3 linked regions of the Arabidopsis thaliana genome follow. The protein of the gene in region 3 interacts with the protein of the main gene of each other region in a pairwise test. Each region holds a gene or a part of one and is shown on either strand. Other genes may lie near its edges.

Region 1 (8,163 bases), on a different chromosome or scaffold from region 3:
TGAGGCTCAAGATTTGATACCTCATGATAAAACCAAGTTCCCTGAGGTTTACGTGAAAGCAATGCTCGGAAACCAGACTCTGAGAACACGTATTTCTCAGACCAAAACATTGAATCCGATGTGGAATGAAGATCTGATGTTTGTTGTTGCTGAGCCTTTTGAGGAAGCTTTGATTCTCGCGGTGGAAGATAGGGTTGCACCGAATAAAGATGAAACGTTAGGCCGGTGTGCAATCCCGTTGCAGAACGTCCAAAGAAGGTTAGACCATAGGCCGCTTAACTCGAGGTGGTTCAACCTGGAGAAACATATTATGGTGGAAGGAGAGCAAAAAGAGATCAAATTCGCAAGCAGAATTCATCTAAGAATCTTTCTTGAAGGTGGGTACCATGTTCTTGATGAATCAACTCACTACAGCAGCGACCTAAGGCCAACCGCAAAACAGCTATGGAAACCGAGTATCGGACTGCTTGAAGTAGGGATCATAAGTGCACACGGGCTGATGCCAATGAAGTCAAAAGACGGGAAGGGGACAACAGATGCATATTGCGTGGCTAAGTATGGGCAGAAATGGATTAGAACAAGAACAATCGTGGATAGTTTTACGCCTAAATGGAATGAGCAGTACACATGGGAAGTGTTTGACACCTGCACTGTCATAACTTTTGGAGCATTCGACAACGGACACATTCCAGGCGGAAGCGGAAAAGACTTGAGAATCGGGAAAGTGAGAATCCGGCTCTCTACCCTTGAAGCTGACCGTATCTACACTCATTCATATCCGCTACTCGTCTTTCATCCTTCTGGGATCAAGAAGACAGGTGAAATACAGTTAGCTGTGCGGTTCACTTGCCTATCTCTCATCAACATGCTTCATATGTATTCTCAGCCATTACTACCCAAAATGCATTACATCCATCCGTTATCGGTTCTCCAGCTGGACAGCCTGAGACACCAGGCGATGAACATTGTCTCGGCAAGGCTGAACCGCGCAGAGCCGCCTCTTCGCAAAGAGATTGTGGAGTACATGCTCGATGTTGACTCCCATATGTGGAGCATGAGGAGGAGTAAAGCTAACTTCTTCAGAATCATGAATGTTCTGAGTGGTCTCATTGCTGTTGGAAAATGGTTTGATCAGATCTGCAACTGGAGAAACCCAATAACCACAATTCTCATTCATGTTCTTTTCATTATCTTAGTTCTTTACCCGGAATTAATCCTCCCAACGGTTTTCTTGTACCTTTTCTTGATTGGGATCTGGAATTTCCGGTGGAGACCAAGGCACCCGCCACACATGGACACACGGTTGTCCCATGCAGACGCTGTTCACCCCGACGAGCTTGATGAAGAGTTTGATACTTTCCCGACTTCCCGATCCTCTGAGATTGTGCGGATGCGATATGACCGGCTCAGAAGCATAGGAGGACGGGTTCAGACCGTGATAGGCGATCTAGCAACACAGGGAGAGCGGTTTTTATCGCTGCTGAGCTGGAGAGACCCGAGGGCAACCACATTGTTTGTGCTTTTCTGTCTCATAGCTGCTATCGTGTTGTATGTTACGCCGTTTCAGGTTGTTGCACTTCTTGCTGGGATCTATGTGCTGAGGCATCCAAGGTTCAGGCACAAGCTACCCTCTGTGCCGCTCAATCTCTTCAGGAGGCTACCTGCAAGATCTGACAGTCTATTATAGATAAATTTATCTGCATCAGCTTTTGTAAAACGTTTGTTGGATTTAAAAAAACTTTGGGTTTAATGCTTAATTCGGTCTTTTCAATGGAATTTTAGTTATATTGATTGCAACATCATAAGACGGTCAAGAAATCCAAATACATATATCCATCAAACTCAAAATCTTTGGTTGGGTTTCTGTTTCTCATCTGTAATTCTGTTTCCAACTAACTTTTTTTGTCCAATGAATAACAGTTTCTGCCCAGACTATAAGGGTTCGATTTAATTCACAAACATATGAGCCAACCCTTGAGGTGCTCTCCCGCCAACGTTAACGTTGTGGAGCAGTTGCTGCAGCCATTGCATTGCAGGTGGGTCATCCTGCCAAATTAAGTGAGACGATTAGCTAAAAACAGTCAAGTCTCAAGTATCAAAAGAATTGAGTCGTGATAACAATAAACTGATAGATAACAATTTGGTATCAGAATCACTAATAATTGGTTATGATGCTATCAAGAGATATGACACTTACATAGAGACAACCACTGAAAGTAGCATCCCTCAGAAGATCTGGAAGGCAACTTCCAAGTGCATCGCATGCTCTGAATGTCATCAGTAACTGTATTGTGTAAGCACGAGTGTATAATATGGTTTTCAAATGAAGGAAAATGGATAATTATTGCACCTGGGGTTATCTGTCAAGCGAAGATAGCAGCGTATGATGTGCTTTAGTAGCCTAGCGGACGGTCCTTCTGCAAGTGAAGTAACCATATTTCCCAAAACCCGACCCAGAGCAAAGAATCTCTCCGCTGTCGTGCACATGTACTCAAGCCCAACATCGTCCAGCAAAACTTTCTGAACAATGAAAGTAGCAACCTGACATAACCGTTCAAATAAATCAATCAGATGAACTGTACATGACCAAAACCAATCAGAAACATCAATTGCAGAAGAAAACTTATACAAGTTCTTTGTATGAAGCAAAGATTTCAGATATTTGCAACTGGCTGTATAAATGATAGGAAACTTGATATACATTTTTCAAGCATGTGAATCTAAAGAGAAGCATCTGAAGATAGACAAACTTACAGTCTTTGATAACTCGCTGCCATTCTCCATTGTCCGGAGGCACAATGGGACAATCTCAGTTTGAAGAAGGAATCTGATCACTTCAGTATCATCAACCTACCAAACCAAATGAACGATGTTGCAAGACCAATATCACTAATGATGTCTTAACAGGATCTACTCAAAGGTCTTAGCATGCTAAAATCGTTGTTTCTCAAATCACCAAAATATTTATTTACAGCCAAACAGTTGTTAGCATGTAAAAGAAGTGTTCCTGCCTTTTTGGCATAAACATACTAAATAACTAGACGAGGAAACAAAACTCAAATATCAATACATACCTTAACAAGTGCACCAATAACCCCCAAGCTAGTCAGCCGCAGGTACTCAAACGGTCTTGATTTGCTTGATGTATTCAAGAAAGCATACAGGTACAATGGCAGATGGGCTGTATTTTGAAAAGCAACAGACTTTAAACTTTAAGCATATTATAGCCAAACACACATCTAATAAATGAGATCAATCAGAAAGAGACCAACAAGGTGGCTCTTAAAACTAGTTTTGGTAGACGGGTTGGGTATTCAACTAATGCAATCTATCTCTATAACTTTAGTCACAGAGCAAACACCGAAATTATTTGAATGAGAACTAAGGAAGAATTGTTCGGGCACAGGACTGTACCTTTTAGGAACAACATTCTCGTATCAGTATGAGAAGCAACACACTGGATGTACGAAAAAAGAGTCGAATCAATAAAAAATAGAGTCTTCCAAATTGAACATACATATATAAACGTTTGTAAGTCTCCCTAAAAAAGAAAGAGGAAACTGACAATATTTTATGCACCTGAAGAAGAGCAAGTGCATTGCACACCCTGTTAGATTGAGCAGGAGTCATGGTTGGAGGAGATAGGGCAGGGTAAACTGCGATAATCTCCTGAAAAGAGGAAAGAAAGAAAATGACTAGATCTTAACCAATACAATGTACATCAAATCTCAAAAGTTAAAATGCTAAAACTATAACAGTATATAGAGAAGCCAGAAATCAATAAATAAATTCCCCTGAAGAATAAAGGAACAAGTGCCATATAATAACATGGAGGAGAGGGTACCTGTAGAAGAGCAGGAATGGTACCAACAGAATGCCATAAAAGCGGAGCCAAATCTTGAAAGATCTCTCTCTTCTGAAATAATGAAACACGGGATTAGACATGAATTTCAGTGAGAAGAACTTCTTAATGTATGAAATCAAAAGCAATGAGTACAGTAAACATCAAAACCATTTGATTTTTTAATTGTCCAGACGTTTAACTTCAGTGAAGAATCCTCATACCAACTTAAATTGCTCACCAATCGAGATCAACGCCTTAATCAGTGTTGAACTATTTCGATTATTTAATTTCATCCCCTATTCATGCAGGTTTACAATCTCAACAATAATCGTACAAATTCCCTCAAAATTTGCGGCAAGGAAGAATTAGGAGTCGGTAATCTAAAAGCATGTCTACGATTCACCGGACTAAACAACCAAATACATTCGAAATTCCATTCAATAGAACGCAGAAAACGAAAACCCAAACGATCAAAAATTCGCGAGTAAGAGAATTCGGTGAGAGAGAGATGACCTTAGACAACTCGTGAAGTGCATTTTCTCTGAGTTCGGGATTGCTGAGATCGAGAATTAACTGCTCCGCCGATGATAGCTTCCGATCGTTGTTGGAGGAAGAAGAAGGAGAAGAAGCTCCTGAGAGGGCGACAGATTTCATGGAGAGCGGAGGAGGAAGATTAGCCATTAGAGCCCCGTCACCGTTTACACGCGCCGCAGAGAGAATCGCTACTTGTGACAGTGAAAGGAGGAGATGTATTTATAGGACCTAAGGGGGGCGTGTATGTCACGTGCCTCGCTTGCTCCGTTACGGGATTTGTTCAAATCTAAATCTCACGTGACTTGTGAAAAAAAAAAAAAAACTCTCACGTGACTCTCCCGTGCCTCACACAACTTAAGATTCTGAAAGATAGATTATAAGATTTACATGATTCACATTATGACTTAGCTAATGTAGAAGACAATAAAAAAACATAGGTATTTTGATATCAACAAGCCAAAAAAACACACACTATATCTACTTTGTTTGTGGCGCCAAAATAAACTGATTTAATATCTTTATTTATTGCGGTACAATAAATAGTTTAACCGTATATCCTTTTATTTTTGTTTAACATGAATTTGTCGTGTCACTCGGTGTAACATGCAAGGGGAATATGTGGCTCCAAAACTCAACAAGTAGTGGTCGATTGGCTACCGAAACTAATTAAGGTCAATGCAATAATTTTATTGACAAACAATCTAGCATCAACAAATCTATATACAGTCACAAAATTAGAACTAGATACACCATATTGTCCTTATAAAGAAAATATATCTTACCGTTTTAAAACTAAAATCAGACAAAATTCTAGTACAAAACCTTAGACAACCAATCTACCACTTCACATCCAAAAGATCGGTTTTCCCAAGTTTCTTCTAGAAACAAATGTCACAGAATAATTAATTGTGATTTGATACCAACTTAAAACACTCTAAACCCAAAATTTATATATACAATTGATGTCACGAATGCTTCCGACTTCATCTTGAGAACTAACTCATCACAAAAATTGAATTGGAAGTTGTTACGCTTTGGCATCTTTCCAAAGCATCCACAAAATCTTGGCTGAAGTAATTGAAATACTCTATAGTAAATAACGAAGTTAATCATTTTCAACCTGAAATAGAAATTTAACATTCGGATAAACAAAACTCAAAACTAGAATGTGAAAAGCATTACAAACTAATATGTCAACAATGGGAAACAGAAGATACAGAAAAAAGATATAAGGAATGAATCTATGGAGTAAAAGGAATGTGTTTATGATGAAGAGGGTCGGATCCAGTTGGAACTTGTCTTTCTTCAACTTCATTAGCTGTTCCTCCATCAATCTTCTTCTCCTGTTTTCAGTACCAAAACAAAAAATTAATCATCTTTGCATCAAAATCATATAGAAAAATACAAACGAATATCAAATGCAAAGAGCTAGCTAGAAAACAAAAAGTTTCATACTTTTTATTGTAAAAATAAGAAACGAATTGTTCATTTCCTTCAAAACAGTCGCGTTGTGTTTCTAGGAAGAGATTTTCTTACCTTTTTCATGGCTTTCGTATCTTGTGTTTCTCCTAACCAAAAGAAGGCTAGAAACAAAAAGAACAAAGAGGATTGATTCATCATGTTTTGAACCCAAACGATGAATAAAGATGAGAATATTATTAAACATATCACATGACACTTACATTTTGTAGAAGAAGAGTGAGCAAGTAGTGAGGACGAAAGAAGAAGGATGACTAATATGATAAAAACGCTTCCTTTGTATTTCATCGCCGCCATTTCAAAAACCTCTTTGTGGTAAGAGTCTCGACAAGAGTGACGAGAGGTGTGTCGTCGTCTAATAAGGTGAAAGTTCCGGGTTTTAACCTCGTTTTACAGCTTTGTTGGGGCCAAATCCGTCATTTTGGTTGTTCTTTTTGGGATGAGATTTAAGCTGTACGGACACAGATTACCGTTTACAGGCTGGCTCGAACCAAGACAAATTATCATTCTCGTACAAATGTCGTGGTGCCACGTATCGCCGCCACGTCTCCGCTTATTTGTCGAACCAAACATTGTCACAACTTCCCGCCATTTTTTAAGTTGTCTTTCAACGAAGCAGAGGAAACTAGGGCTAATCCTTCTTAGAAGATCGTGGGCTTTCCTTATCGGCCCATTAATGAACCCAGTTGGTAACTAGGGAATTTTTGAAAGCTTTGTTGTCGCTGTATCTTATAGGCCAAGCAAAAGTTGTTAGTAAGTTCCTTATCTTCCTCGACATGGACCAATGGAGGTCTTCAACTAAATAATTAAACAGTCATTAAATGATAGATAACGTCTAATTTATAGATGAATACTACAATGTTTTTACCTAAGCGATATATTGAAAACTAAATTACATTAACCCTAATCATCCATGAAGATAAAAAAGGGATAAATTAAGATCCCTTCCCTGTCATTACAATGAAGAGATGAATCATTCCTTGTTTCGAGAAGAGCGATCCTTACGATGACCTCCAAGGATACGAGAGATCTGAAGACCTCTACTGAAAGCTTGATTAAAGAGCATACGCGTTTGGAACTCTGACACAAATGGAAACCATGCCAAGAACGCCACTGGCGTGAACAGCAACAGTCCCATTACTATCTCGTATCCACGAGCTAGGGTCCTCACTGATCCCCAGAATCCTGCTCTATGAACCACCGGCTTACACGCTTGCGCAATCTGCAAACACACACCAAGTGTTAGTCTTGTTTTTATCCACACACGCACAACATTTCCATTTTAATAGGACTCCAGTGAAAAGCTTTTTTTTTTACTTACCAAGAGCATCCCCCAACCTGTGGGCATAAAGGCAAGGATACACACAATTATGTCTTGTATCGTCATGTGAGCCAGTGTGATCAATATCACAATAATTGCGATAAACGTCATGAATATCAGCCCCTTTATCAACCGGAACATCAGCTGAAAACTCGCGCTGAATCTCCGCCTTCCAACCGAAACAGTCTGAGACAAACAAACAACAAAAAACTTGGTTATTGACCATGACGTTCTGGGGAATTAAAAAGAGATTGATGTATCAAGTAAACCCACCTTCATCACAAACAATATCAAGAAAATCACCAGCCATGATACTCCATAAACCTGAGTTGACAAGGGATTTTAGATTTAGTGATTGGATAAGAAAATACCAACATCAAGAGCTAATAGAAATGTTACATACCAGAAAGTTTTTAGTCTTCTCTGTTATAGTGAGATGATAAACAAGCCCATATTGATAGATAAAGAACCGCAGTGCTAGCAAAATCTCAACAACTATACCACGTTTTCCGGAATACCGGAGATGTTCTTGCTCTTCCTCCCACCACGATTCCCAACTTTTTTCTGCCGGAACACCAATACCCCCGATGTTGTTTATCCATTTATTCCAATCAGTCCAATCATCAACAATCTTCTGCCATTCAAAACCAGAAGGATTGAAGAGGAAGGGAGCAAAAAGCCAGGTCCCGACCATGAACCACATAGATATGGTGATCAAAAGATATGCAAGGACGCCTCTGTAAGCACTACCAAATATTTGATACACAACGAGTAGCAGCATCATTTCAAGTCCCTTCACAAAATGGCTCCGGGAATACAGTCTGTAATTATCAGCAAATTTGGCATGAAAGACGACAAATCCTCTTCCTGTGGACCTGTACTTGGCACCGCCATGAAGTAACGTCCTCCCATAGTAGTGAGTCTTTGTCCCAAGAGAGAACGTAAAGAACACTGGCGCCAACTGAAGCTGCATCAGCACAAATTC
Region 2 (6,777 bases), on a different chromosome or scaffold from region 3:
CTGGTTGTACAAAGCTACCAGAGATCCCAGGTCACCAAATTAATTAGTTATATTTTTTTCAATTCTTCATCCAAAGATGATCACACTACTGAATTGCACAATGCAAATTACTCGTCGACAGGTATCTTGATGCAGGACGTGACTTTGTGGCTAGTTTGCAATACGGGGCAAAATGTCCTTGCGGTTATTGTCACATCACAGATGTAGAACTGCATAAACAAGAAGATCACATGGAGAGCTTCTTCCTCGCAGAAACGGTAAAATACATGAAAAGCTCTGTTTCTCAATATGCATTTACTTGCTTACCTTAAAGCCTTGACTTGTTTTTGTTTCAAAAATATTTCAGGTGAAGTACTTATGGCTACTCTTTGACTTAGCTGTTGACTCGGATAACCTCGTAGACAATGGCCCTTACAAGTATAAATATCTCCTCCACATTAACCTCTTGATTTTCACAAACACCACAACAATTCACTAATCTTGATAATTTTACTTAATCTTCAGGTACATCTTCAGTACTGAGGGTCATCTCTTACCAATAACACCACAAATATCTCTAGCTCGGGAACATTGCTCTTACTTTGGTGGATACTGTCCAAGCAATTCCACAAAACTAGAACAAGAAGTCCTTGGAGAAGACAGTAGTAACGATGATCACAGTAACGATTATCCTTACCACGAATCTTTTCCAGTTACCGGTTTGATAAAGGTCAGTACCAGAAATAAAAATGTTTCTTTCTTTCTTTCGGATTCCTTACCACGAATCTTTTCCAGTTACCGGTTTGATAAAGGTCAGTACCAGAAATAAAAATGTTTCTTTCTTTCTTTCGGATTCCTTACCACGAATCTTTTCCAGTTACCGGTTTGATAAAGGCCAGTACCAGAAATAAAAATATTTCTTTCTTTCATCAAAGTCAGTTTCTTTTGTTTTGGGGTTTTTGTAGGGTTTATGTCCAGGACTAACACATGCTCAGAAATATGGTTTTTCGTATGTTCTACCGGAGAAGACAGATCGTGAAGATGTTAATCAACCTAAACCGGTAGTTACAAGCAGTTCAATTGTGTTAATCTCGGATCAAACAGTGGAGAAGAGACCACAGGAAGAAGAAGGATTTACTTCTCAGTCTGAACCAATAATGACAATCTCTGGTGGTAGTAGCAACGACCAAACAGGTCAAGAGCTAACCTTGTTAGAGTCAGAAACTGATGATCAAAGATCATACTCTTCTTAAATCTCTCATTTATATATATGTTCCACAGAAGAAGATTACAAAAACTTTTGTTAGAAATATAGATTCAGTTTTCCAATCTCATCAAGAATCTTGAATCCTTCTTTTGTTGATCGATTGTTGTCTCATCATAATCATCATCATCATCATCGAGACAACTAGGTTTAAGTATTTGGTAAAATTCTTGACTTAATAATCATCTTGCATCAAGAACATTAGGTATGAATGTAAAAATTGTTGGTGCACAAAGGAAAAACCTAAATTCAATGAACCTATCTATACCATTTTAAAATATTACTCTAGTTCCAAGGTTCATAGATTATTATAAGTGATAGTGGAGACAAATTAGCACAGTTGGGTAGATTTACTTGTTTAAGGTATGGGGGACCAAAGTCACAGTTGGTAACAACAAAAGATAATATAAACATTTCCAAAGCCCCAAAAATATTCTCACTGCTCGATTAGATTTCTTATTTCTTTAATCTTGGTGACTAAACATGTATAATCTAAGTTTAAAGAAACTAGAATCCAATGATATATGTTTAGAAGCTGGGATTATTATTTTTACCATAAAGCAGCTTTGGTTTAATGATTTGTCTTCGTTGTGTTCATCTACAAGTTAGGTTTAATGTTCTGTGTTACAGTTTTGTAAAGACAGATCTTAATTTGAAGAGAAACAGAACAGAAAAATGGGTAATTACATCAAAAACATCAAAGTTGTTCGATAAGAACATTATAAAAAGTGAAAAACACAAAGATAATCTTCAGATTAGATCTTTCTAATACCACAAAACCTTTCTCTTTAATGGAGACAGAGTTACAGCTAAAGTTTAGATTTAGATCTTTCTCACACTTTTATGCTTAAGACCATTTTAAGCATCTCTCTTTTTACCGATGAGGTAAACATTCACAAAGTATGATTGTATGAAACATCTCTCCCCAAGAACCCGAGCAGTTTCAGAGCTATATTTACTCTGTTTCAAGAAACAGAACAAAAAACTCTGTTTTTGAATCTTTCTCTTTGATCTTTATCTCTCAATTAGGTTTGTTAAAGACCACCACAACCTAAACCTTTAACTTCAGATCCTTTCATGATCCTTAGCCTCTTACAAGACGAAACAAACATCCTGCAATAACAACAAAACACCATAAATACATAAACAAGATTGTGTCATAAGTTAACTAATTTGAGAGATAAATGAAAATTTGTACTTACTCCCAAGGAACATCACCAACAAGCATCCAATCACCATCTTTGTCTTCATAAGTAGGTACAAAGTCTGAGCCTTTATATCCTTCTCTCTCAAAATATTCTCCCACAGAGAATTTAAACATGTTTTCAAGTGATTTCATCAACTCTGGATATTGTTTATACATCGTTAGATCTATCTTCCTTAGATATGGAGCACCATCCATACTTACTTTCACATAGTTTCCTTGACCTTCAGATTCACTCTTCTTTGTCTGAACATTGTTCTTTCTGTAAGATCTAACTGGTGGCCATCCAACAATCTGAGCCCTATAAAACAAGAAATAGCATAGATTAGATTAGATCAGATTCACAACTCAACACACATTTTCAGAGAAGTTGTATTTGATTCAAACACTTACTTTGGAGGAGAAGCGGTTTCAGTTTTTCCAGTGGATTCAATCTCTTTCTCAGTAGCTTCAGGTAAAACTCTTTTGTTGCTTTTTCCACAAGAAACAGTTTCTTCTGTCCCTGGTAATCCCAATCTCAGCTCTGTTGCCTTTAGGTTAACAAGCTCATCATAAACATCAACTTTTTCCATTTCTTCTTCAAAGAAAGAACCTCTTTGTTTTTGTGTGTTTTGTGTTCTTGTGGTTGTCTAGAGAGAGAGAAAGACTTGTTGATGAGATAAGAGGCTTTGTGAAGAAGATTGTTTTATAGGAATTGAAAAGTCACTTTTTTGGTAATTTAGAAAAAATGGGATTAACTTGATTTAAGGACAAAGGCAAAAGCTAAAGCTGTCGGGTAGTAAACAGTAGCAGCAACTTTGAGGCAAAGTGTGTCCCATCATTTTGGGGACATTTGTGGGACACTTTCATCTTCAACACAAAGAAAGATACTTTCTTTGATTTTAGAGGACGGTCTAGATTCATTTCTCTGTAGCCCTAATTCAAGGAAGTGGGGTAGAGTATGGTACACTCATGTGCAGAATATAAAAAACCTTTCTCTTTTGTTCAAGCATTGAGTTATTGTAGGGTAAGCATTACATGTACTGTGGTCTGCCATATGCATTTGTCACCTCTCTCTCTCTCTCTTAAAGCCAAGAACTTACTCTTTCATCTATTTGTGGTTCATGTGATATCAGGATTAGATCATCCTAGTCAATTGAGTTGAAACTCTAGCTGTCTAAAGTCAAACATATTCATAGTCTTTTTTTCTGTGTTTGGAGGATAAGATTTTGAGTTTCATTGGGTCTGATTGGTAGCTTCATGTGTGTCCAACTAGTATTTGAGTTGGGACTTTCGAGAGTATTAGTAAAGAAAAACAAATAGTATTTGAGTTAAAATTATACTATTTGTTTTTCTTTACTAGTTTTCATGAAAGTCCCAACTTAATTTGTCTCTCTGTCTCTATGAAACTTCTAATGATCTTTATATATATGAATCCAGGAACAAACTGACAAGAAATCTTGCCAAAAGGTTTTGTCTTTAGACAGTTCATTATCTATGGGGTCTTATCGTTTTGGGTTTTGATTTCTCTCTGACTTTGTTTTCATGTTACTACAGCAAGGCAGTTTATGTACTTGTCATGCTTTAGTGAACCAATGTAAACCAAACCTAACCTAATCTCTTTGGAGGACCAAATTTGAAAACCTATGTTCAAGACTATTTTTTTATCCTAAGTTTGTTTAGTCTCGATTTCAAATTTTTTTTTTCTGTAGAAAAAGTTTTGAATCGTTACACATTAAGGGGTATTATTCAGTCATGGATTTCAATAGAATCAAATCCAACACTAATCCACTGTGATTGATGATTCTAAATGGTGCTTAAATATTTGTGATTAATTTATCATTAGTATTATGTTATTTTTGGCACATGACCTCCTAATAGTCTAAATCCTTCTTCTTGAGTATGATTTATGGATTACGACATTTGGGAAGTGAACATTTAGGAGATTGTTGGTTTTATCCGAATTGGTCTCAAAAAGGAGAATTTTAAAGGTAGTGAGTTTGGTATTTATTGTTACACGGTAGACGACAAGACTTTGGGTTCGATTTGAAATGTGAAAAGTTGGTTTCATTGCATGGTTGGCGTTAGAGATTTAAGTTCATGACTAGCTTATTTAGCTAGAAATCAAATACTGAAAATGAGACGTATCTAACAACAAACCGGTTCATGGCATTCTCTCCGGTTCCGGTTCTTTTGGACTCTATGTTGGATTGATCCACCGTTGGATCCAATAAATGATATAAAACAGCTACACACATGATCATACATATACAGCTTCATAAGTTATAGTTGGTGGGCAATATATATGCTTTTATATCATCCTAGTGATTATTCTAATGGTGGCTGGTTTGATGAAAAATTAGGCATCACCTCTTCCATGTTGAATTTGTTCTTAACTATCTTTTTTGAATTTTTTTACATAATGTTCAATATTTTTTGTATGGACTATGCAACAAAGTTTTATTATTAGTGAAAACATATCTTATTCAAAAAAGAAAACGGAAAATTAACATAGACATAAACAAGGAGTAATTCTGTTGTTAGGAATACATTTCATATGACATCCATCCATGCAGTCATCATCCAGTAATTTCACTACCTGCGGCGAACCTTCATGATGCAACTGAGGAATTTCTTCAAGTAATAACCTTTTCGCCTCAACATTTCGAACAGTAACGATACTCATCACTACAAAATCAGAAACTATAAATAACAAATTTTGTATATAGATTTTTGTTATTTGCTTCACACGTGAAATATAAATTTTACCTGATGTAACAATTAGGCAGATAAGGAAAGCAAACTTCATTGGTATTTTTTTACTTTACAATATATAGCGGAAGTTGTTACACAAAACTCGGGGTACTCCCCAATACGTAGAAGTACAACTATTTCTAGATACAATAGTTATATAAAGGGATCTACTGTAAATTACTAATTATTTTGTTTTTGTTACCAGCCAAATAAATACTTATCAAATTACAAGGAAAAAGTCCAGTTATTGACTAAGTAAAATTATATGAATTTATTACAAAATTTTGTAAATATACATGAGACTAGTATAACTGATATTCTACAAAAAGTCGGTAACAAACTAACAATATAAGACCAATTCTAGAGTGCAAACTAGAAAACAAACAGTTTAAGAGTTACAAGAGATAGATCATATAGTTTTGAAATATGGAAGCAAATAACAATCATCAATCCATATTCTATATTGTAGTTTTTATTTGAATTGTGGCAAGACTTTGGGTTCGATTTGAAATGAAAAACTTTGGTTTCATTGCATAATGTTTAACCTGTATATATATAATAGGAGAGTCCTCTCTCCATTTAGGGTGTCCATCTAAGCATCCATATAAGCAACACTATTTATTTTATGTTAAAATAAATTTAAACATTCATTTAGTGCATATTTTTGTTACTTATAATCATAAAAAAATGAATAAACAAAAAACGAATTATGTAAAATAAATGAGCTGTTAAAATAATAAAGTTATACTATAACTTTTTTGTTAGTAGTAATAATCTATTATACCACACATTTTATTGTGCCTTTACGGTTAGGTGTATCGGTATTTACTCGGGCAATCATCATATCTTGAAATAGTTGTATTATGAATATACATGGAGTTGTGTCAAATTCACACTTTTGATTTTTGGGCCAATCACTATGCATTATTTTATTGAAAGACAGTCAATACTCATAAATCAAAGGAACATAAGAAACAGAAGGTAGTTTTATTATAATGCATATGTGAAAAGCTACAAACCACAAAGAACACGAATCTAGAACTTCAAGTCCGAACCTTTTAATTTCTCCTCGATGATCATGTCGATTTTGTTCTCCATTTCGGGAGTTAGATGATTCTTCCAGTCACCAACTTCTCCTTTGCGGAAATAGCTTTTGTAGTCATAGTTCATCCATGTTTTTCCGGTTTTGTTAACCTCCAAACCGCTCAGATTACCAAGAGAGCATAGTTCCAAGAGTTTGCTAATCGAACCACTATCTTCTTCTTCCTTAGTGAAAGGAAACCCCAAAAACTCGGCAAGCCTCTTGACCTGGACACACGGCTCTGTTTTCATTTCCTCGTACCTCATGAAAAGGACATGCTTGGGGTTTTCCAAGCTGCCTCTCCAATAGCTTAGAGCATGGTCCCAAAACGGACCATAGAAGCTAACTCCGCCACAGAATGACTCGAACATTGACTCAAGAGTGCTTCTAGATACTTCATTGTTGCTATACTTGGACCTGAAATGCCAATCCGATATCAAAACATCCTTTATGTTCCTGCACATATACACAACCTTGCATGGAGAACCCTTGAGGCCCTCTTTGAAGGTGTGTAAA
Region 3 (9,779 bases):
AGTTAACGTGTCCAGAAAAACAATGGAGTTAAATCTAGATATAGTTAGAGTGTTGTTGTTCACACGTATAGATACTTATTTAATTATTGTTTATAGGTCTTATTCATGTTTTATTTTACGCATCTTAGAATCCTCATTTACTAAATTACTAAACATTTCACGGCAAGATGACTTGTTCAACTACATTATCAGTATCATATACTACTATTAAGTACCATTTTAATTATTTAATAATTTCCAAATGTGACCCTTGACTCTTAAGAGGGGGTTAAGGGACTCTTTGATTAGAAATATAAGTTAAATAAACACACACACGAGCATATACATAGTATAAAGTATAGTCCATTATGTTAACAGACAGGTGTCAAGCAATAAAGCTATTTATACAAAACTCTATTTCCATCCATTTCAATAATGAGCAGTGTAAAGATAATCATTCACACAAATCCTTACATTGATTGGAAGTTTCTCTCCTTTTTGTACCATTTTATGATTTATAATAGAACTCTAAAAGCCAAGTTATAAATGTTTAAACCCTAATTATCTTTCCCACTATCGACCTCTGTGGGTTTTATGTGTAGATGTACGTAAAAGCCTACTTATCATTCCTTTTCCGTAGCCACTTATAGGACATTTATAACCCATTTCTTAGATTTCGAACTATACAAAGATTTTCCGAGATTTTTGAATGATAATAATAATAACAAAACTCGTTGCTAAATAATGTGGTTTGAAGTAAATTTTTGGATATATAAGAAGATAAATCACGAAAAAACTCGTGGACATGTTGGCAACAGAAACGCATTTGGAGAAACTCGCAACGTCTCGTATTTATTTGAAACACACGTTCCACAAAAACATTACCATTAACTCTTGTATCATATATATACATATATATTGTCCTCTCTGTGTGTATAAAACATGTGTATATATATATATATATATATATTAATTATAGCTTGTGATATATACCTAGCTTAAATCAAAGCCAGGATTTGATAGTATAGACCTAAAAAATGTTGTTTACTGATCACTAATCCTCGATATGTAAAATAGTAAATTCAAGAATCAAGAATATCGAACACATGACCTAACAAACTAAAGCAAATTTAAGATGAAAGTTTTTTTCTGAACATATCATATTTTTTTTTTTTAAATGAACATATTCATTGCTTCTAGATTTTTGCTGTCAAATATGAGTAACTTTCTGTGACGTATGTTTTTATACAGAGGTGAAAACAGGGAATACGCCATCAAGAAGCAGGGAATCAGTAACCTACTATTTTAATAGAAGATTCATTACCTTGTTAATCACGAAATTACCTTCTTGCTCATGAATCACCAAGTCAATGTCAATGTTTTTAGAGAAAAAAACACACATACATAATCATCAAGTCAATGTTCTTGCAATAGTTATACCTTTAGTTTCCCCCAAAAAAATATTAGCCAATTAAATCAAACAAGAAAGAAGATATTACTTAAAAATCTCTACAAAACACATGACTACATGAGCGAGTGAATTCGATAAGGGCTTGAAGAAGTGGTATGCCGATTGACTATTGGGTTAAAAATAGATGAACAATTGAGATTCTTAGAATTAGTACCACTAAATTGACTAAAAATCAGTAAATGATTGAACTCATTTGAGACCAAACATGTGGGAGATATATATGGGAATGAATGCTTTCTAAGTGGACACGAAAATTCTATATTACAGTTGAGATTCGTTTGAACAAGCTCTGGGGAATATACGGGGGACAAGATACCAATTTATTACTAAAATAAATACGATTAAAATAGTCTAAATTGAGAAAGAGAAGATCCGGAGATGGTGGTGGTGGGTTTTAAGGCATCTTGCTTATTTATATCCTTAAAGGGAACAGAAATTGTCAAAAATACGTCATACGTGACGTTTTCTGTCATAATTAGTAATATACTAAACATAATTAATTAGAACTAAACGATAAAGTAATTAGTTAATTGGTATATAAATATATGGACTATGGAGTATAGGCTTTTTCATCTTTATATTTTGCTTATTATTTATTAAAAAGTTTGGCATTATTCATTGCCAAATGACTACAGCAAATATACGATTTTGATGCAGAAATTTAAATTTATTGATCATCTAAAGATCGCACTTAGTTTACTATACGAAAATCCATGCACTACACTACTAGTGATGGTACAAATGTTTAGGAAATAAAATTATTATGTTAAATTTTGTATTGAAATAAATATTTGGGAGTTATAATCTTATCATATAAAAAAACTAAAATAAATAACTAACCCAACATATATGTATATCTACATTATAAGGATTTGAATTTATATGGTAAACATAACTATACTAACAAAAATTATTATATTACATATCTTGGTTAAATTAGTAAAATAGATTTATTTAGTGTTTTTCGTTTGTCGCTTGTCATACTTTTTGAGTTCCTTCAATTTGAGTATCATAAGATTTTTAGGAAACTTAATCTTGATGTTATAAGTGATATTAATCGCTTATTTATAACATCTACTTATTTATCCATCATCGATCATTTTTTAACGGTTCAAAAGATTTCACGTATATTAATGTTCAAAATTCTAAAAAAAAAACATTTAATCAAAACATTTTTTTCTAAGTATTTAAGTAATTTTTCCGGATAATATTTGTTTGGCAACGATCAACATATATCATGACTCAAATAAATTTTGATGTTTCTAATTAGTAAAATGTGGAGTTGGAAAAAAGTTCTTGCAAAAGGTGAAAAGAACAAAAATCAGAGATGGAAACACTTCCCACATGCTTATGTTAGTCCCACCATTTAGTGGTAGAAATGTAATTTATCCAAAGAAGGAGGTCAAAGCTGCTTCGTCTCTAATCCAAGTCTAGCCAGTATTGTTGCCTGCATAAGAGCAAACGGTAAAAGTGACGGACTCTTAACGATGACGGGTGTTACTGTTTAATGTCTCTTGATCGACTTTTGTTACCGTAACGACAACGGCACGCGCCCTCACGCTCCGTACCAGCCTTAAAAGCCAACACATTTATGATTTATCCAGTAACTAATACTAATTCCTTCATCCACTAACGCAATTGCATTTAATTGTTTAGTACGTATAGAAAAAAAGTAAAAAGCTATTTATAATTATAACTTACAAAGTCTCTTTCAATTAGTACAGTGTAAAACAACCAATTATTTTCTATATTATACAGTATAAAGGTGTTTATCATAGACCCATTATTTATTTGTTTTTGACTAAAATATCAAAGTGTATTAAAACATAAACCAAATAAATTTGAAATTAAAGTTTTTTTTTTTTTTGTAAAATTAAAACTGATTTTTGGTTTAAATAGAGAAGCAAAGCTACGCTTTTTTTTTTGCTAGCTCTTTTTTTATTTAATCAAACAAAAATTGAGGAAAACAATTATTGTTGTGCTAAGCATTTCTATCATATATTTTTTTATAAACAATACATTTAATTTCAAAATAACTTTCTACTTTCTTCAAATCAAGCTATTTCCTAGAAATTTGGTACTGTCTGGATAACAACATGTCTTAGAAAGTATAGTAAGGAATTTACAATTGGTTATACAATTAATGTATAGCGTATTATTATATACGAAAAGGTGTCCAATTTTAGACATACATATAAAATCAATTTATTAAAAATAAAAGTATTGAAAAAAGAGAGAGTGAAACGGAGATAAAAGCAAACGGAGGTGTTAACTTAAAGACGGGAGAGAAGCGAGTGAGAGATTCTTTCTTGTAACGGCGTTGTTTGACGATTATAGTGACGAAGAGAGACAAAAAAAAAGAGTTTAGTCTTCTTTGTTTGGGAGACGAAGACGATAGAAGCTGGTTTTACGGGAGAGAAATTAGAGAGGTTACAGTTACAGAGCAGGAAGGATTGCGTTGCGTTACGATTCAGATCTCTCTCGATCGTTACTTACATGCATTAGAGAACAAGAAAACGTGGAGACGGAATCCAAGGGACCTTCTTCTTCAATTTAATTCCTCACTTTATTACGCACCCTTCTTTTATTTTCGACTGTTTCAGCTTCCGGTTCTTCATCGGAGAGAGATAGAGAGACTGTGTGTTTTGGTGTGACTGATAGAAGATTTAATCAGCTGATGGCAAATCGCGGAGGTGAGAAATTGACCGGAGTTTTGTTTTTTTCTTCAATTTTCCGGCGACATTACCGGCGAAATTAACCGGTGTACATTGTGTGGTGAAACAGGTGAATATCTGTACGATGAGTTATGGAAATTATGCGCGGGACCTCTTGTTGATGTTCCTCAAGCTCAAGAAAGAGTTTATTATTTTCCTCAAGGTCACATGGAACAAGTAAGCAGCTTCTCTTTTAGATCGGTGAAATTTTGAGAAAGATTTTTTTTAATGAAACATTTCTATTTTTGGTGGTTCAGCTCGAAGCGTCAACGCAACAAGTCGACTTAAATACGATGAAGCCTCTTTTTGTTCTTCCTCCTAAGATTCTCTGCAATGTTATGAACGTTAGTCTTCAGGTATACTTTCCACATTTAGCAAAACCGAATTTATCTGATGATGTGTCGTCCATTAGTTAAAGCAATATATATAGATGGATATTGTAGAAAATCTATGAAGAAGCTGGAAATGATTAGACTAAATATGAGTGGAAGTTCTGGATCTTGTTTGATTTCTTCATTTCTGTTCTTGTCAGGCGGAGAAAGATACGGATGAGGTCTATGCTCAGATTACTTTGATCCCTGTTGGAACTGTGAGTGACACAATTAGATCACTTGATTGTTTTTGTTGTTGCAACTTCCTTAAATTCAATGTTTAGTGGATCTCTAAATGTAAACTGTAGGAAGTTGATGAACCTATGAGTCCTGATCCCTCTCCTCCTGAGTTGCAAAGGCCGAAAGTTCACTCTTTCAGCAAGGTTTTGACAGCGTCTGATACAAGCACCCATGGTGGCTTTTCTGTTCTAAGGAAACATGCCACGGAATGTCTTCCTCCGCTGGTATTAGGACACGCTTACTATTTGTGCTTTGTTTCCCACCAAAATGGCCTTTGATATGAATTTCTTATGTTCTTATCCTTTAGGATATGACTCAGCAAACCCCGACCCAGGAGTTAGTAGCCGAAGATGTGCACGGTTATCAGTGGAAATTCAAGCATATTTTTAGAGGTGGTGAATCCATTTCTTGTTAACTCAGATCAAACTTTATGTATCCATGATAATTGTATAAAATGAATGATAATTCATTAAACAGGCCAACCACGGAGGCATCTATTGACGACAGGGTGGAGCACCTTTGTTACATCAAAGAGATTGGTTGCTGGGGACACCTTTGTATTCCTGAGGTATTATACTTCACGCTGCTACCTTGTTTTGTTTCTTTTGATGGTCCATTGGTAGATTTTGAACTTCCAAGCTATATTATATTTTCCAGAGGGGAGAACGGAGAGTTGCGAGTTGGAGTCAGACGTGCTAATCTTCAACAGAGCAGTATGCCTTCATCCGTTATATCAAGTCATAGTATGCATCTGGGAGTGCTTGCTACTGCACGCCATGCTACTCAAACGAAAACTATGTTCATTGTATACTATAAACCAAGGTAGACAGTTATTACTCTATGGGAATATCTGAGGTGAGTTTTTTCGACATTCTGCTTATCGAATTACTCTCGGTTTGAGCAGGACAAGCCAATTCATCATTAGCTTGAACAAATATCTAGAAGCCATGAGCAATAAGTTCTCTGTAGGGATGAGATTTAAGATGCGTTTTGAGGGAGAGGATTCCCCTGAAAGAAGGTAGTCTGAATTTTTTCTTTGTTATGTATCCTGCACTTTGTCCCCAAAGCTATTCTCACACATCTATTTCTTTACAAAGATATTCTGGCACGGTTATTGGTGTGAAAGACTGCTCCCCTCACTGGAAAGACTCAAAATGGCGATGCTTAGAAGTAAAATTCCTTCCACTTTTACATGTTTTTTAAAGTGTTTATTAAGTGTGAAAACTCAATCAGTTTGCTACATGTTTGTGTAGGTTCATTGGGATGAGCCTGCATCGATTTCAAGACCCAATAAGGTTTCACCATGGGAAATTGAACCGTTTGTAAATTCAGAAAACGTTCCCAAATCAGTTATGCTGAAGAACAAAAGGCCCCGTCAAGTTAGTGAAGTATCTGCACTTGGTGAGGCACAATCTAACCGCCACTGATTTGCTAGTACATAGCTTAAGTTTCCTTGCTAAATCTCACATGCTGTGTTTAGATGTAGGCATAACAGCTTCAAACCTTTGGAGCTCTGTTTTGACGCAACCCCATGAGTTTGCACAATCGTGCATCACCTCACAGTGGAGTTCTCCTCAGCAATGTCATCGTGATGCAAATGAGGATGCTAAGAAATCTGACTGGCTAAATAACTCTTACTCTGTGTCAAATGTAGCAAAAGACTCAACACTGAACGACCAAATGGTTTCCCCAGTCGAGCAGAAGAAGCCTGAGACAACCGCTAATTATAGATTATTTGGAATTGATCTGATGAGTTCCTCCCTAGCGGTTCCTGAGGAGAAAACTGCACCCATGCGACCAATCAACATATCCAAACCGACTATGGACAGCCACTCAGACCCAAAATCAGAGATTTCAAAAGTATCAGAAGAGAAAAAGCAGGAACCTGCGGAGGGATCACCAAAAGAGGTCCAAAGCAAGCAAAGCAGTTCTACAAGAAGCCGTACCAAGGTATATATATGCCTACATGGCTACCGTGAAGTGTATATACATTGTGTAATCTGTGAGTTGCAAAACAGATACACATTATGTATAATGTTTGCGGGACTGAACAGGATCCTGAATTCTTTATCGCTGAACAGGTGCAGATGCAAGGCGTACCTGTGGGCAGGGCTGTGGATTTAAATGCGCTAAAGGGGTACAACGAGCTCATAGATGACATTGAGAAGCTGTTTGACATAAAAGGGGAACTGCGGAGTCGCAATCAATGGGAAATAGTGTTCACAGACGATGAGGGAGATATGATGCTTGTCGGTGATGACCCATGGCCGTAAGTAACTTACTCTTTATCTCTTAGTCAATAGAATCACTACACAAAACTCATATCTGTTGACTTAATTTGGTGGTGCAGTGAGTTCTGCAACATGGTGAAGAGAATATTCATATGGTCGAAAGAGGAAGTGAAGAAAATGACGCCTGGGAACCAACTCCGGATGCTGTTAAGGGAAGTTGAAACAACACTAACAACAACTTCCAAAACAGATAATCATTCCAACTAATTTTTATTCTATTCTCTATCAGTCTTCGTCTCCTTCTTATTTGCTTTGTCTTTCGGAATTATCTTGTTTGTGTCTGTGTTTTGTTGCGCATGGCTTAAACAAGAAACTACATCCCCTGAGGCAAAAAAAATGGCTCGTTTTTTTGGAGCCTCTTATGGAGAAAGGGGGTTTATGGGGAGAGGGTTTTCTACTTTTAAAATAGGCTTTTGGAAGTTTCTTTTTCTTCTAGGAACTTGTGTGTAAGAGAAACAAATATGTAACGAACAGAAAGAAAAAAAAAAAAAAAAAAAAAAAAAGAGAATGAGATTTGTGAATAACTTGATGAAGGACTTTTGGGACTCTGGGATTATAAGAGATTAAAGAGGGATTATACCTCATGGCTCTCGTGTTTTCTGATTCTTTTTCGTAGTTGTGTTTTCTTTGATTTTGTTTTTCATCTAAGTTTTAATGTATATATAAAATTTCAAACATGGCTTTCTTGTATTTGTCAAATCCCCAAAGGTACATATATTATCAATATTTAAAATGTTAAATAAACAAAACTCTAGACCTAAAACTATTTCAGGTTTTCCCACTAACCTTAACAATGATTCAAGATTATTGATGTTTTGTCTGTGAGGACATGTATGTGGCCGCTCTTGCCACCATATTCACAAACGTAATTGTATGAAGTATGGACCACCTTTTCGCTACTACTTCTGGATCCCCTTATGTTTGTAAAGTGTATCATTCCCTTATATCACTATTCACTCACATGCATTAAAATATCGAATGCTGCAAAGGAAAAAAGAGTTATTTTTCTCTTTAGATATCATTTGGGTTATGCATATTACTTGGATTAGTCCAATATGTCGTGTACAACCATTCTCGCTGCAAAACAACTACAATATGTCAACATAGTATAACACATGCTGATCTGGTGAGATTATAAATTGTGAAGTTTGTCTTTATAATATGTACATATAGTATTTCTTTGATTATGACAAGTGTGTAGAAAATGTTAGGATATTATTCTAAATCCCACATACGAAAGATTAGATAATGATTATCCAACATATAAGTTCAATCTAATTTTAATTAGTGTATCATTTGGGGAAAAAAAATCGTGCATATCTGGTTGCTTGGTCCAAATATCTATATTTTCTGACGGTCCAATATTTATATACGTACCACATAAATACACCTATACGAATCTCTTTACTAATACGTCGATACCGTTCATAGTTAATGACGTTATTTACTGCCGAGATAATGAAGTGATGATGTAGGTTATTTATTGCCGAGATTTGTGAAGGCAGTGGATCTCACAATCCCTATCTTTTCCTCTTCTTTTTTTTCTTTTTTTCTTTCCATATATAGAGAAGTTTAAATTTAATTGTACCATTAAAAGCTCACCAAATACCAACTTATACATACAGTCAGTATCTATATCAGGAATTTATATGTATGTGTGTATACCGAATAATAGTAAACTCATTTTACTAATAAATAACTTTGTTTTATTATATATTTGATAAACAACTTGTTATAAATTATTTTAATATGTTAAATTTGAACTTATTAAATTTTAAGTAATATTCTAGTGACGGAAGTATACATTGTATTTAAATTGCATAGATGTAATTACTTATTTTAAAAACTTATAGCACTATTCAGTGATTTACTTTTCCAACCTAAAATCGAGGTGTAGAATGTCTACTCTGGAAAAAAAAATCGCCTATAAAATATCAATATCAATGGTGAGTTTTGTTCTATGTACCAAGTTTCTCTAAAACAATTTGTCTTTCTATTAAAAATAAAGAGTACCACGATGGAGCCTCACAGAAAACACTCGGTCGGCGACACAACCCTCCACACGTGTCATCCTTGCCGGCGCACCATTCCATATAGAATCTACGCCGTATTTCACACGTGTGGCATCATAGCCCTCATGTATCACCATGTACACTCACTTCTCACAGCAAACACAACTCTAATCACGTCTCTCCTTCTCCTCTCCGATATTGTTCTCGCCTTCATGTGGGCAACCACAACTTCCCTCCGGTATAAACCGGTTCGCCGGACCGAGTACCCTGAGAAATATGCAGCTGAACCGGAGGACTTCCCGAAACTGGACGTGTTTATATGCACGGCTGATCCGTACAAGGAGCCTCCGATGATGGTGGTCAACACTGCCTTATCGGTGATGGCTTACGAGTATCCGTCCGATAAGATCTCAGTCTACGTATCGGACGATGGAGGTTCGTCGTTGACTTTGTTTGCTCTTATGGAGGCAGCTAAGTTCTCTAAGCATTGGTTGCCTTTTTGCAAGAAGAATAATGTTCAAGATCGGTCTCCTGAAGTTTATTTCTCATCAAAGTTACGTTCTCGGAGTGATGAAGCTGAAAATATCAAGGTGCGTATTATTCTACTAATCACTTATAATTAGGAATGTTTTTTTTTTTATCGAATGTTAAAATTGTCATTCATTTTGGTTACGTTGAATAGTGGGGAATAACATGTTTAA

What was found. Proteins that work in one complex are often made in the same cells at the same time.
Region 1: the proteins of ARF9 (region 3) and AT5G12980 interact in a two-hybrid assay, tested with the Arabidopsis thaliana proteins (one large-scale study listed by BioGRID).
Region 2: the proteins of ARF9 (region 3) and ATAUX2-11 interact in a two-hybrid assay, tested with the Arabidopsis thaliana proteins (one large-scale study listed by BioGRID).

The regions. Positions count from the first base shown.
Region 1 is NC_003076.8:4,103,615-4,111,777, forward strand, and holds AT5G12980 (Cell differentiation, Rcd1-like protein), read right to left. Parts: upstream 4,619-8,163; 5' UTR 4,526-4,618; coding exon 4,358-4,525; intron 3,917-4,357; coding exon 3,845-3,916; intron 3,670-3,844; coding exon 3,580-3,669; intron 3,458-3,579; coding exon 3,415-3,457; intron 3,182-3,414; coding exon 3,075-3,181; intron 2,851-3,074; coding exon 2,755-2,850; intron 2,542-2,754; coding exon 2,351-2,541; intron 2,268-2,350; coding exon 2,198-2,267; intron 2,047-2,197; coding exon 1,948-2,046; 3' UTR 1,769-1,947; downstream 1-1,768. Other genes in the region: AT5G12970 (Calcium-dependent lipid-binding (CaLB domain) plant phosphoribosyltransferase family protein), read left to right, coding at 1-1,687; CLE40 (CLAVATA3/ESR-RELATED 40), read right to left, coding at 5,620-5,721, 5,915-5,961, 6,061-6,154; GSL12 (glucan synthase-like 12), read right to left, coding at 6,831-7,079, 7,179-7,364, 7,452-7,502, 7,582-8,163.
Region 2 is NC_003076.8:17,546,707-17,553,483, reverse strand, and holds ATAUX2-11 (AUX/IAA transcriptional regulator family protein), read right to left. Parts: upstream 3,306-6,777; 5' UTR 3,020-3,305; coding exon 2,841-3,019; intron 2,749-2,840; coding exon 2,446-2,748; intron 2,357-2,445; coding exon 2,278-2,356; 3' UTR 1,769-2,277; downstream 1-1,768. Other genes in the region: AT5G43710 (Glycosyl hydrolase family 47 protein), read left to right, coding at 1-30, 122-257, 347-417, 505-709, 945-1,232; AT5G43695 (uncharacterized protein), read right to left, coding at 4,933-5,114, 5,196-5,235; AT5G43690 (P-loop containing nucleoside triphosphate hydrolases superfamily protein), read right to left, coding at 6,216-6,777. UniProt on the Arabidopsis thaliana protein: Aux/IAA proteins are short-lived transcriptional factors that function as repressors of early auxin response genes at low auxin concentrations.
Region 3 is NC_003075.7:12,447,465-12,457,243, forward strand, and holds ARF9 (auxin response factor 9), read left to right. Parts: upstream 1-3,678; 5' UTR 3,679-4,127; coding exon 4,128-4,143; intron 4,144-4,234; coding exon 4,235-4,341; intron 4,342-4,421; coding exon 4,422-4,520; intron 4,521-4,696; coding exon 4,697-4,753; intron 4,754-4,843; coding exon 4,844-4,999; intron 5,000-5,082; coding exon 5,083-5,167; intron 5,168-5,252; coding exon 5,253-5,343; intron 5,344-5,432; coding exon 5,433-5,597; intron 5,598-5,679; coding exon 5,680-5,793; intron 5,794-5,872; coding exon 5,873-5,945; intron 5,946-6,028; coding exon 6,029-6,176; intron 6,177-6,255; coding exon 6,256-6,725; intron 6,726-6,856; coding exon 6,857-7,044; intron 7,045-7,125; coding exon 7,126-7,273; 3' UTR 7,274-7,905; downstream 7,906-9,779. Other genes in the region: CSLG3 (cellulose synthase like G3), read left to right, coding at 9,027-9,668.